Linked DNA regions of Ovis aries. The protein of the gene in region 1 purifies or fractionates together with the protein of each later gene. This does not show direct contact. Links are inferred from orthologs where the notes say so. Each region holds a gene or a part of one and is shown in the gene's direction. Other genes may lie near its edges. The genes, in order: FASLG and SNX9.

Evidence for each region.
Region 2: the proteins of FASLG (region 1) and SNX9 purify together in Homo sapiens (co-immunoprecipitation; 3 studies listed by BioGRID and IntAct, with this or other methods). This does not show direct contact. The link is inferred for Ovis aries from reciprocal best matches to the Homo sapiens genes FASLG and SNX9.

The regions. Positions count from the first base shown.
Region 1 is NC_056065.1:39,431,168-39,435,433, forward strand, and holds the start of FASLG (tumor necrosis factor ligand superfamily member 6), read left to right. Parts: upstream 1-1,235; 5' UTR 1,236-1,445; coding exon 1,446-1,781; intron 1,782-2,867; coding exon 2,868-2,913; intron 2,914-4,266. UniProt on the Homo sapiens protein: Cytokine that binds to TNFRSF6/FAS, a receptor that transduces the apoptotic signal into cells. Involved in cytotoxic T-cell-mediated apoptosis, natural killer cell-mediated apoptosis and in T-cell development.
Region 2 is NC_056061.1:82,210,637-82,214,446, forward strand, and holds part of SNX9 (sorting nexin-9), read left to right. Parts: intron 1-1,066; coding exon 1,067-1,141; intron 1,142-2,419; coding exon 2,420-2,545; intron 2,546-3,810. UniProt on the Homo sapiens protein: Involved in endocytosis and intracellular vesicle trafficking, both during interphase and at the end of mitosis. Required for efficient progress through mitosis and cytokinesis. Required for normal formation of the cleavage furrow at the end of mitosis.

The DNA.
Region 1 (4,266 bases):
CACAACAAAAGTTTATTTTCTCAGTTCTGGATGATAGAAGTCCACGATCAAAGAGTCAGTAGGGCTGGTTTCTCCTGAGTCCTCTTTTCATGGTTTACAGATAACCACCTTCTTGCTGTGTGCTCACTTGGCCTTTTCTGTGTACATATGCCTCCCTGCTGTCTCTACCGCTTCTTCTTTTTTTCAGGAAGTATTTATTTCTTTATTTTTGGCTATGCTGGCTCCTTGTCAGTGTGTGGGCTTTGTCTAGTTGTAGACAAGCATGGGCTTCTCATTGCCGTGACTTCTCTCTTTGTAGAGCATGGGCTCTAGGGAACGTGGGTTCAGTGGTTGCAGCTGTAGGGCTTAGTTGCCCCATGCCATGTGGGATCTTCCTAGAGCAAGAATGGAATATGTGTCCCCTGCATTGCAAGGCAGATTCTCAACCATTGGACCACCAAGGGAGCCCTCTACCTCTTCTTATAAGGACATTAATCATGTTGGATTAGGGTCCCACTCAGACTACCTCATTTAACCTTAATTACACCTTAAAGGCATTATCTCCAAATACAATTACACTGGGGATTGGGATTCGGTGCTTACACTTTGGAAGAACACTATTCAGTCCATAACAGCAGTCCACTGTGAGTCTCAACGGTAATCTTTTGCCCCAGGCATCTGTGGTTGGTTTATCTTGTGCTTTTCTGGCCTAAGTTTTAGACTCAGCAAAACAGAGATGAATGTCTGCATTATGGACTATCCCGTTTTTTGAGGAGGACGGTAAATAGAAATAAACAACATTGTAAGGCACAAGCAAAGCAGGTCTGAGGGCTCTGTGAGGCATATGGCCACTGGTTTGCAATCTCTGATCTATTATAGAGTAGGCAGGCAAGTTTGTAACCTGTAAACTACGGTGCTTTGCTGTGTCAGGGTAAACAGTACTTGGGTGTGGGGGAGGGATGGCAGCAGGGGGTGATTCCCTCCTGCCAAAGGTAAGACCCAGAAGTGACTCCTCTGGCCGTGACTCGGTGCTTTCGCCCCACAGGCCACTCTCCTTGTAGCTGAACAGCGGCCGGAGCCTACAGAGCTGCGCTGACGCTACCCCCGTCTCAGGGCCTGAGGACAACGAGCCCACCCTACCAGCCTTTCAGGGAGCAGGGCAGCAGCGACTGGGGTTTTGAAAGCTTTCATCAGAAAGTTGTGGGCGGAAACTTCCGGGGGTTTGCTCTGAGCTTCTTGAAGCTTCTCAGGTTCAGATGCAGAGTGAGTGGGTGTCTCTTTGAGAAGCAGAAAGAGAGAACGAAAGAGAGGTGTTTCCCTTGGTTCTGGAAACTCTATAAAGAGAGAACCGGCTTCCTTCTCATGAGCAGTCAGAAATAGGAGTCCGGCCCTTGACACCTGGGCCTCCGCACGACTGAGGAAGAGGAAAACCCTTGGCTGGGGGCTGGCCTGAGGCACTGGATACCATGCAGCAGCCCTTGAATTACCCATACCCCTCAATCTTCTGGGTGGACAGCAGTGCCAGCTCCCCCTGGGCCTCTCCAGGATCAGTCTTCCCCTGTCCGTCCTCAGTGCCAGGAAGGCCGGGGCAAAGGAGGCCACCACCACCGCCACCCCCAACACTACCGCCATCGCCACCCCTGCCTCCACTACCGCCACCACCTCTGAAGAAGAGGAGGGGCCACAACACAGGCCTGTGTCTCCTTGTGGTGTTTTTCATGGTTCTGGTGGCCCTGGTTGGACTGGGGCTGGGGATATTTCAGCTCTTCCATCTGCAGAAGGAGTTGGCCGAACTCAGAGAGGTAAGCTGCCTGGGGGATTGCCGCACCCTGGAATGTGCGGAGGTGGGGGATGGGGTGAAACTGCCCTGCTGCAGTGGGGGAGGAGGGCGACAGAAATCCACATGGACCACACTTGGCTTGCAGCATACTTCTCAATCCTTTCTTCCTGTCTTAGAAATGAATCACGCTAGCCATCCTGTTCTGCCTGCAGAGAAATGGGGGCTCAAATGGGTGGAAGGAATATTTTCTATCTTGGGAGGGATCAGGATCAAATCAGGACTGGCAGATGATCAGTTGGCTGATCATCTGAGAGAGGAAGAACTCTGCTACCTACCTCATACTCGATTCAAGAAAGAAAAGGGACTTGGCATCTGAGAAGTGAATTTGTTCAAATGCACAAACTAAATTTCCTTGAAAGTGCTTAAAATTATTAGAACTATTTCAAATCACAAAACTGAGGCATGGACAGGCACAATTGCTTGGCCAGAGTCTGAGTTAGGAGAGGTTCTGGGTGCTTAGATTCCCTTTCCAGTGCTTAGTTTATTTGACAGTTCTTCTTCCTTTGCTTAAAGAACTTCATCAGTTCAGTCGCTCAGTCGTGTCCGACTCTTTGCGACCCCATGAATTGCAGCACGTGAGGCCTCCCTGTCCATCACCAACTCCTGGAGTTCACTCAGGCTCACATCCATTGAGTCAGTGATGCCATCCAGCCATCTCATCCTCTGTCGTCCCCTTCTCCTCCTGCCCCCAATCCCTCCCAGCATCAAAGTCTTTTCCAGTGAGTCAACTCTTCTCATGAGGTGGCCAAAGTACTGGAATTTCAGCTGTAGCATCATTCCTTCCAAAGAAATCCCAGGGCTGATCTCCTTCAAAGTGGACTGGTTGGATCTCCTTGCAGTCCAAGGGACTCTCAAGAGTCTTCTCCAACATCACAGTTCAAAAGCATCAGTTCTTCGGCGCTCAGCCTTCTTCACAGTCCAACTCTCACATCCGTACATGACTACTGCAAAAACCATAGCCTTGACTAGACGGACCTTAGTCGGCAAAGTAATGTCTCTGCTTTTGAATGTGCTATCTAGTTATTATGTATCTTTTCTCTTTTGCCAGTCCACCAGCCAGAGGCATACAGCATCATCTGTGGAGAAGCAAATAGGTGAGTTTTTTTATGCTTGCACGTTGAGTTTCTAAAAACAGTCCTCAGCACCAACCATGTTGGAGGAGTACCTTGAATTCCACCTTATTCTTAGGCATATATAGACTATAGAAGAGAAATCCTAACCAATTCTGAAATCTCTTGTCATTTTGGTTCTTGAAACTGCCCTAAAATATGAAGTGAGTTTAACTGTTCAAAATTAGTTAAGTATCACAGAAAAATTCAAAACTAATTTCTGCTTGAATTTGGAAAGAGAAACACAGATGTACAACCCTGGACCTTTGCCCACCCCCCACACCCCAAGCAGCTGGCTCCAGGCCTGCCCCCTTCCTCAGGCCTCCTGATTCCCATGTACAGGGCGGTGGCTATAGCTCCTCAGGAGAGAAGGGAAGGTGCAGACAGACACAGCTGTTGCTGGGAAAGATCCTTGCTCTCCTATTTAATCTCTGTACTCTTGCCTGGAAAATCCCATGGATGGAGGAGCCTGGTAGGCTGCAGTCCATGGGGTCGCTAAGCGGACATGACTGAGTGACTTCACTTTCACCTTTCGCTTTCATGCATTGGAGAAGGAAATGGCAACCCACTCCAGTGTTCTTGCCTGGAGAATCCCAGGGATGGGGGAGCCTGGTTGGCTGCCATCTATAGGGTCACACGTAGTCGGACATGACTGAAGTGACTTAGCAATAGCAAAAAAAAAAAAAAAAAATTACTTAAGAGTCAGACCTGATTTAAAATTTTAATAGGTTATATTTAAGCTTTTAAAGAGTGGGCAACCAGTCATCCACATTAGGGTGGTTCTTTTGCAGCCGCTGGAAAGCTTGGAGGAAGACGTTAGGCATTTTACAGAGGGTAGTCCCACTTCACTCAGAGACAATCATGCGCTGCTTTTGATAATAAAGGGAAATCCTCTGTGTGAAATTCAGGACAGGAAGATGACAATGTTGAACATCGGCCTCCTAAAGTTTCAGGACATAGTTTTGGAAACTGTGGATTTAGAATACTCGTTAAACTAAGATGGAAAGGAGGTTAGAGAACATCTGGTCCAGTCTTCTCACCTTTCAGAAGAGAAGCAAAACACCAGATGGATTAGTAATGTCCCCAAGACCTCTGCTGTGGAATGGGGCTGAGAAGGAGCTCAGGCTCCTGATGCCTTGCCACCTCCAGCTCTTACCAGTGTGTGCTCCGGCCCTGTGACACAGGGAAACTCCTACTCCTATCTATCTCTGATGGGCATGGAATGAGAAATAAGGACGACAGGCAAGATGCCTCTGCAAAGAGAAGACAGCACTGGTCATCTAGTTGGGGAAGCCTGCTCCAAATTCTCAGGCTGTGCCTGAGAAACCAAGTCACCCT
Region 2 (3,810 bases), on another chromosome or scaffold:
GACCACTTCCAATTTGCCTTGATGCATGGACCTGCCATTCCAGGTTCCTATGCAATATTGCTCTTTACAGCATCGGACCTTGCTTCTATCACCAGTCACATCCACAACTGGGTGTTGTTTTTTCTTTGGCTCCATCCCTTCATTCTTTCTGGAGTTATTTCTCCACTGATCTCCAGTAGCATATTGGGCACCTACTCACCTGGGGAGTTCCTCTTTCAGTATCCTATCATTTTGCCTTTTCATACTGTTCATGGGGTTCTCAAGGCAAGAAAACTGAAGTGGCTTGCCACTCCCTTCTCCAGTGGGCCCCATTGTGTCAGTTAGTTTTCCTAAATAACAGGCAGTCCCAAAGCTTAGTGGCTTAAACAAATAGTCAGTTGTTGTTGCTTGGGGATCCACAAGCCAGCCAGGTGGTTCTCCTGACCTGGGGTCACCCATGGGCCTGCATCGCCCAGCAGGGCACGAGGGCAGAGCAGGCCATCATGACCTCCTCTGTCTGGCATTTCTCCTGCTGGGGGTCGGCTGGCTTTGGGTCGGCCAACAGGGAGACGGAGCCTTGTCTCTGTCATCATCTGGCAACCCAAATATCCAGCTCTTTTGGGGGAAAAAAACCAGTGAGCTGAAGTGTGCAGAGCCTCTCGAGGCCAGCTCTGTATTCACCCTGTGTTATCTCCACCTCAGTCTGTTGGCTGAAGAGGTCACAAAGGATAGCGCAGGTTCTGGAAATGAGGGTGCATTCTGTCCCTTGACAGTCGGAGCTGCAAACCATTTGTGTAGTCTACCACAGACCAGTCAACAGAAGGAAATTACAAAATCTTGGCATTCTGTTTCTCTCTCTCTGATCAATTATTGTTGAAGTTTGATTTTTCTCATTTTTAAATTATATCCTTTTCTGGCATAAAGAGAAAGCTTAAGAATTTGACATTTTTAACAGCGTTAGCCCCATGGGAATGAAAAGGTTAATGGGTTAATGTTAATAACCTTTTTTATGGATAACAATTCCCAGAGCCAAGTTTCTGCAGGAAATTCCAACTATACTCTTTTTTTTCTTTTTAACCTTTTTGAGGATGTTGGTGGAGGATGGCTGGAAGGAAGAAACAGCAAAGGAGAAAGAGGGCTTGTTCCAACAGACTATGTTGAGGTAAGAATTTATTCTTGTTTATTAATTAAACCTGGTCTTTGTCATATGCGTTTTTACGAATTATCAACTTAAATAACAAGAATGAAAGATAACTTTATGTTTAATGAAAAAATTCCATTGTAAAAATAATACTTGCTGATTATATAAAATGTAGAAAATTCACTGAAGTAGAACCAAGAAGAAATATTACCTACAGACTTACACGCCAAAGAGTGACTCCAAATGCTTAGCTGAAGTTCCTTCCAAGGATAGCAACTTTTAGTTGTTCAGAATAAAAGTCTCTGTTTTCCGTTGCTGACACTGTCGTAGCTGCTGCCTACCATACTGTGTACTGTAGAGTGGACTCACAGAGTTTAGGCAGCAGACTCTAAGGTCACTGTCTCCTCCCTGTGCTAATCTAGGGCCTCTCCGTCAGTTCCTTCTCCCATTCTCCAAGGCCCAGGGTCTGGAGTGAGCTGTTGCGGGGTGTAAGCTCTGTTGTGATAAATGCTGAGGATGCTGTGGGGACACACCCCACCCAGCTGACCAAGGCTCTCTGAGTCAGCCTCGCGGCGCCCCCTGCTGGCTGTCCGTAGGTCACGCAGAACGGAGCCCTGGGTCCATGGTGAGCCTGCTTCTCTCATCCCGGGTGACAGCAAGAAACTGAGGCTGCCTGGTAGCCTGTGAATAAAACTGGAGTGTAGCTCAGGAGCAGAGTTGCCTTGGGTTTCCGTCCAGTAGAGAGAGCACGTGCCCTGGGAGGGTGTGTGCTGGGCGCTGCCTGCAAAATGGGAAGGCTGGCTGTTTTCCTGACTGAGTTCAGTGGGGAATTTTGAGCGCTCTGGAGAATACTGATGATATTGCTGAAATGTTGGGTTGGCCAGAAAGTTTGTTTGGGTTTTTCTAGAACATCTTTTCTGGAAAAACCTGAATGAACTCTTTGGCCAGCCCGACATGTGCACGGGCAGGCACCCCACCTTTCCAGACCCTATCAGAGGATTCACAGATCCCGAACCCACGCATCTCATGTTATGTTCGACCTCTGTACACTGTGCATTTAGGATCCTAAAAACTGACAAGAATGAGAAAAATGTGATAAGCTGATCCTGGTATTAGTTGTGTTTTTCTAAAGAATTCCGCACACTTGCAGAAAGGAATCGTTAGGGCAGTTGTTCTTGAGCTCATACCTTTTAAGAATAGAAACCTTTTGATAGTTCTTACTTGCCATCAGGGGTTCTACCTCAGAAATAACTCTATAGTCTATGAAAGTAAGTAACTGTGGTCCTTCCTTATGTTCAGATTTTGCCGAGTGATGGAAAAGATCAGTTTGCGTGTGGAAATTCAGTGGCTGACCAAGCCTTCCTCGACTCCCTGTCAGCAAGTGCAGCCCACGCCGATGCATCGGCCACCAAGAGCAGCAACCAGGTAAGCCGTACTCTGGCTCGACAGAGCAAAGCACGCGTGCGAGAGCTGGTGACGTGCCGGGCCCTTGCCATTCCCTGAGAGCACGGACAAAATAGCTGTTAGGTGTGTGTGTGGCGTTCTTTTGCTGGGTTCTAACAAAGACCTTGCCTCTTAAGCCTGCTGCAGACTATTTTTATAGCACTGATTATTAGTGAGAAGGCAGGGTGTTCATTGAGAGTTGCTAGTAAAAGTCTGGCATGTTGAACACAGACCCGATAAACTGGGAATATCCTTGCAAGCGAGGGCGAGGAAGGAAAAGGGTCCTCTGGGGTCAGTGTCAGAACTCTGGCTGGAACAGGACACGACTCTGTGGCCGTGGCCCGTGACTTGCGCGTCCGGCGTGAGCCCCCCCTCTTGCAGGTGCAGCGCACGGGAAGGCAGCTGCAGAGCCAGTAGTTGGTACTGTTACTGTACTGCTTCTAGAAAACTTGGAAAAGCGGGATAATTTGAGAAAAATGTACTGAAACTTTAATATTAATTTTAATGAATTTGACCAATTTAGGTGACTACCTGACTCAGTTCAGTTCAGTCACTCAGTCATGTCTGAATGACTCTTTGTGATCCCATGGACTGCAGCACGCCAGGCTTCCCTGTCCATCACCAACTCCTGGAGCTTACTCAAACTCGTGTCCATTGAGTTGGTACTGTCATCCAACCATCTCATCCTCTGTCGTCCCCTTCTCCTCCTGCCTTCAATCTTTCCCAGTATCAAGGCCTTTTCTAATGAATCAGTTCTTCACATCAAGTAGCCAAAGTATTGGAGCTTGGACAGCAAGGAGATCAAACCAGTCAATCCTAAAGGAAATCAACCCTGAATATTTTTTCAAAGGGCTGATACTGAAGCCGAAGCTCCAGTACTTTGGCCTGGTTCAGTTATTGCTAAATGATTATCCAGAGCCAGCGTCAACAAGAAAATTGAGAAGACGGATCTGAAAATGTTACTACTTCCTACCTCTTTAGAAATGAATGGGCTTTAGGAGATATCTCTTGATATTTTTAACTACATAAAAGGCTTTAAATAATGTAAAGGCTAATAATCATCTCACAGTTATCTGCTTATAGGATATTTATATCTTAACCTTTTAAGAGAGTTTTTCAAAGTACTGTTACTAAATGTTAATTGCAGATTTTATACATTTTAAAATAGCTTTTGTGGACATCCTGAATTACAAATTAGTCTGGCTCAGATATTTAAAATTTGGAGGTGAAGTTATCACCATAGTTGA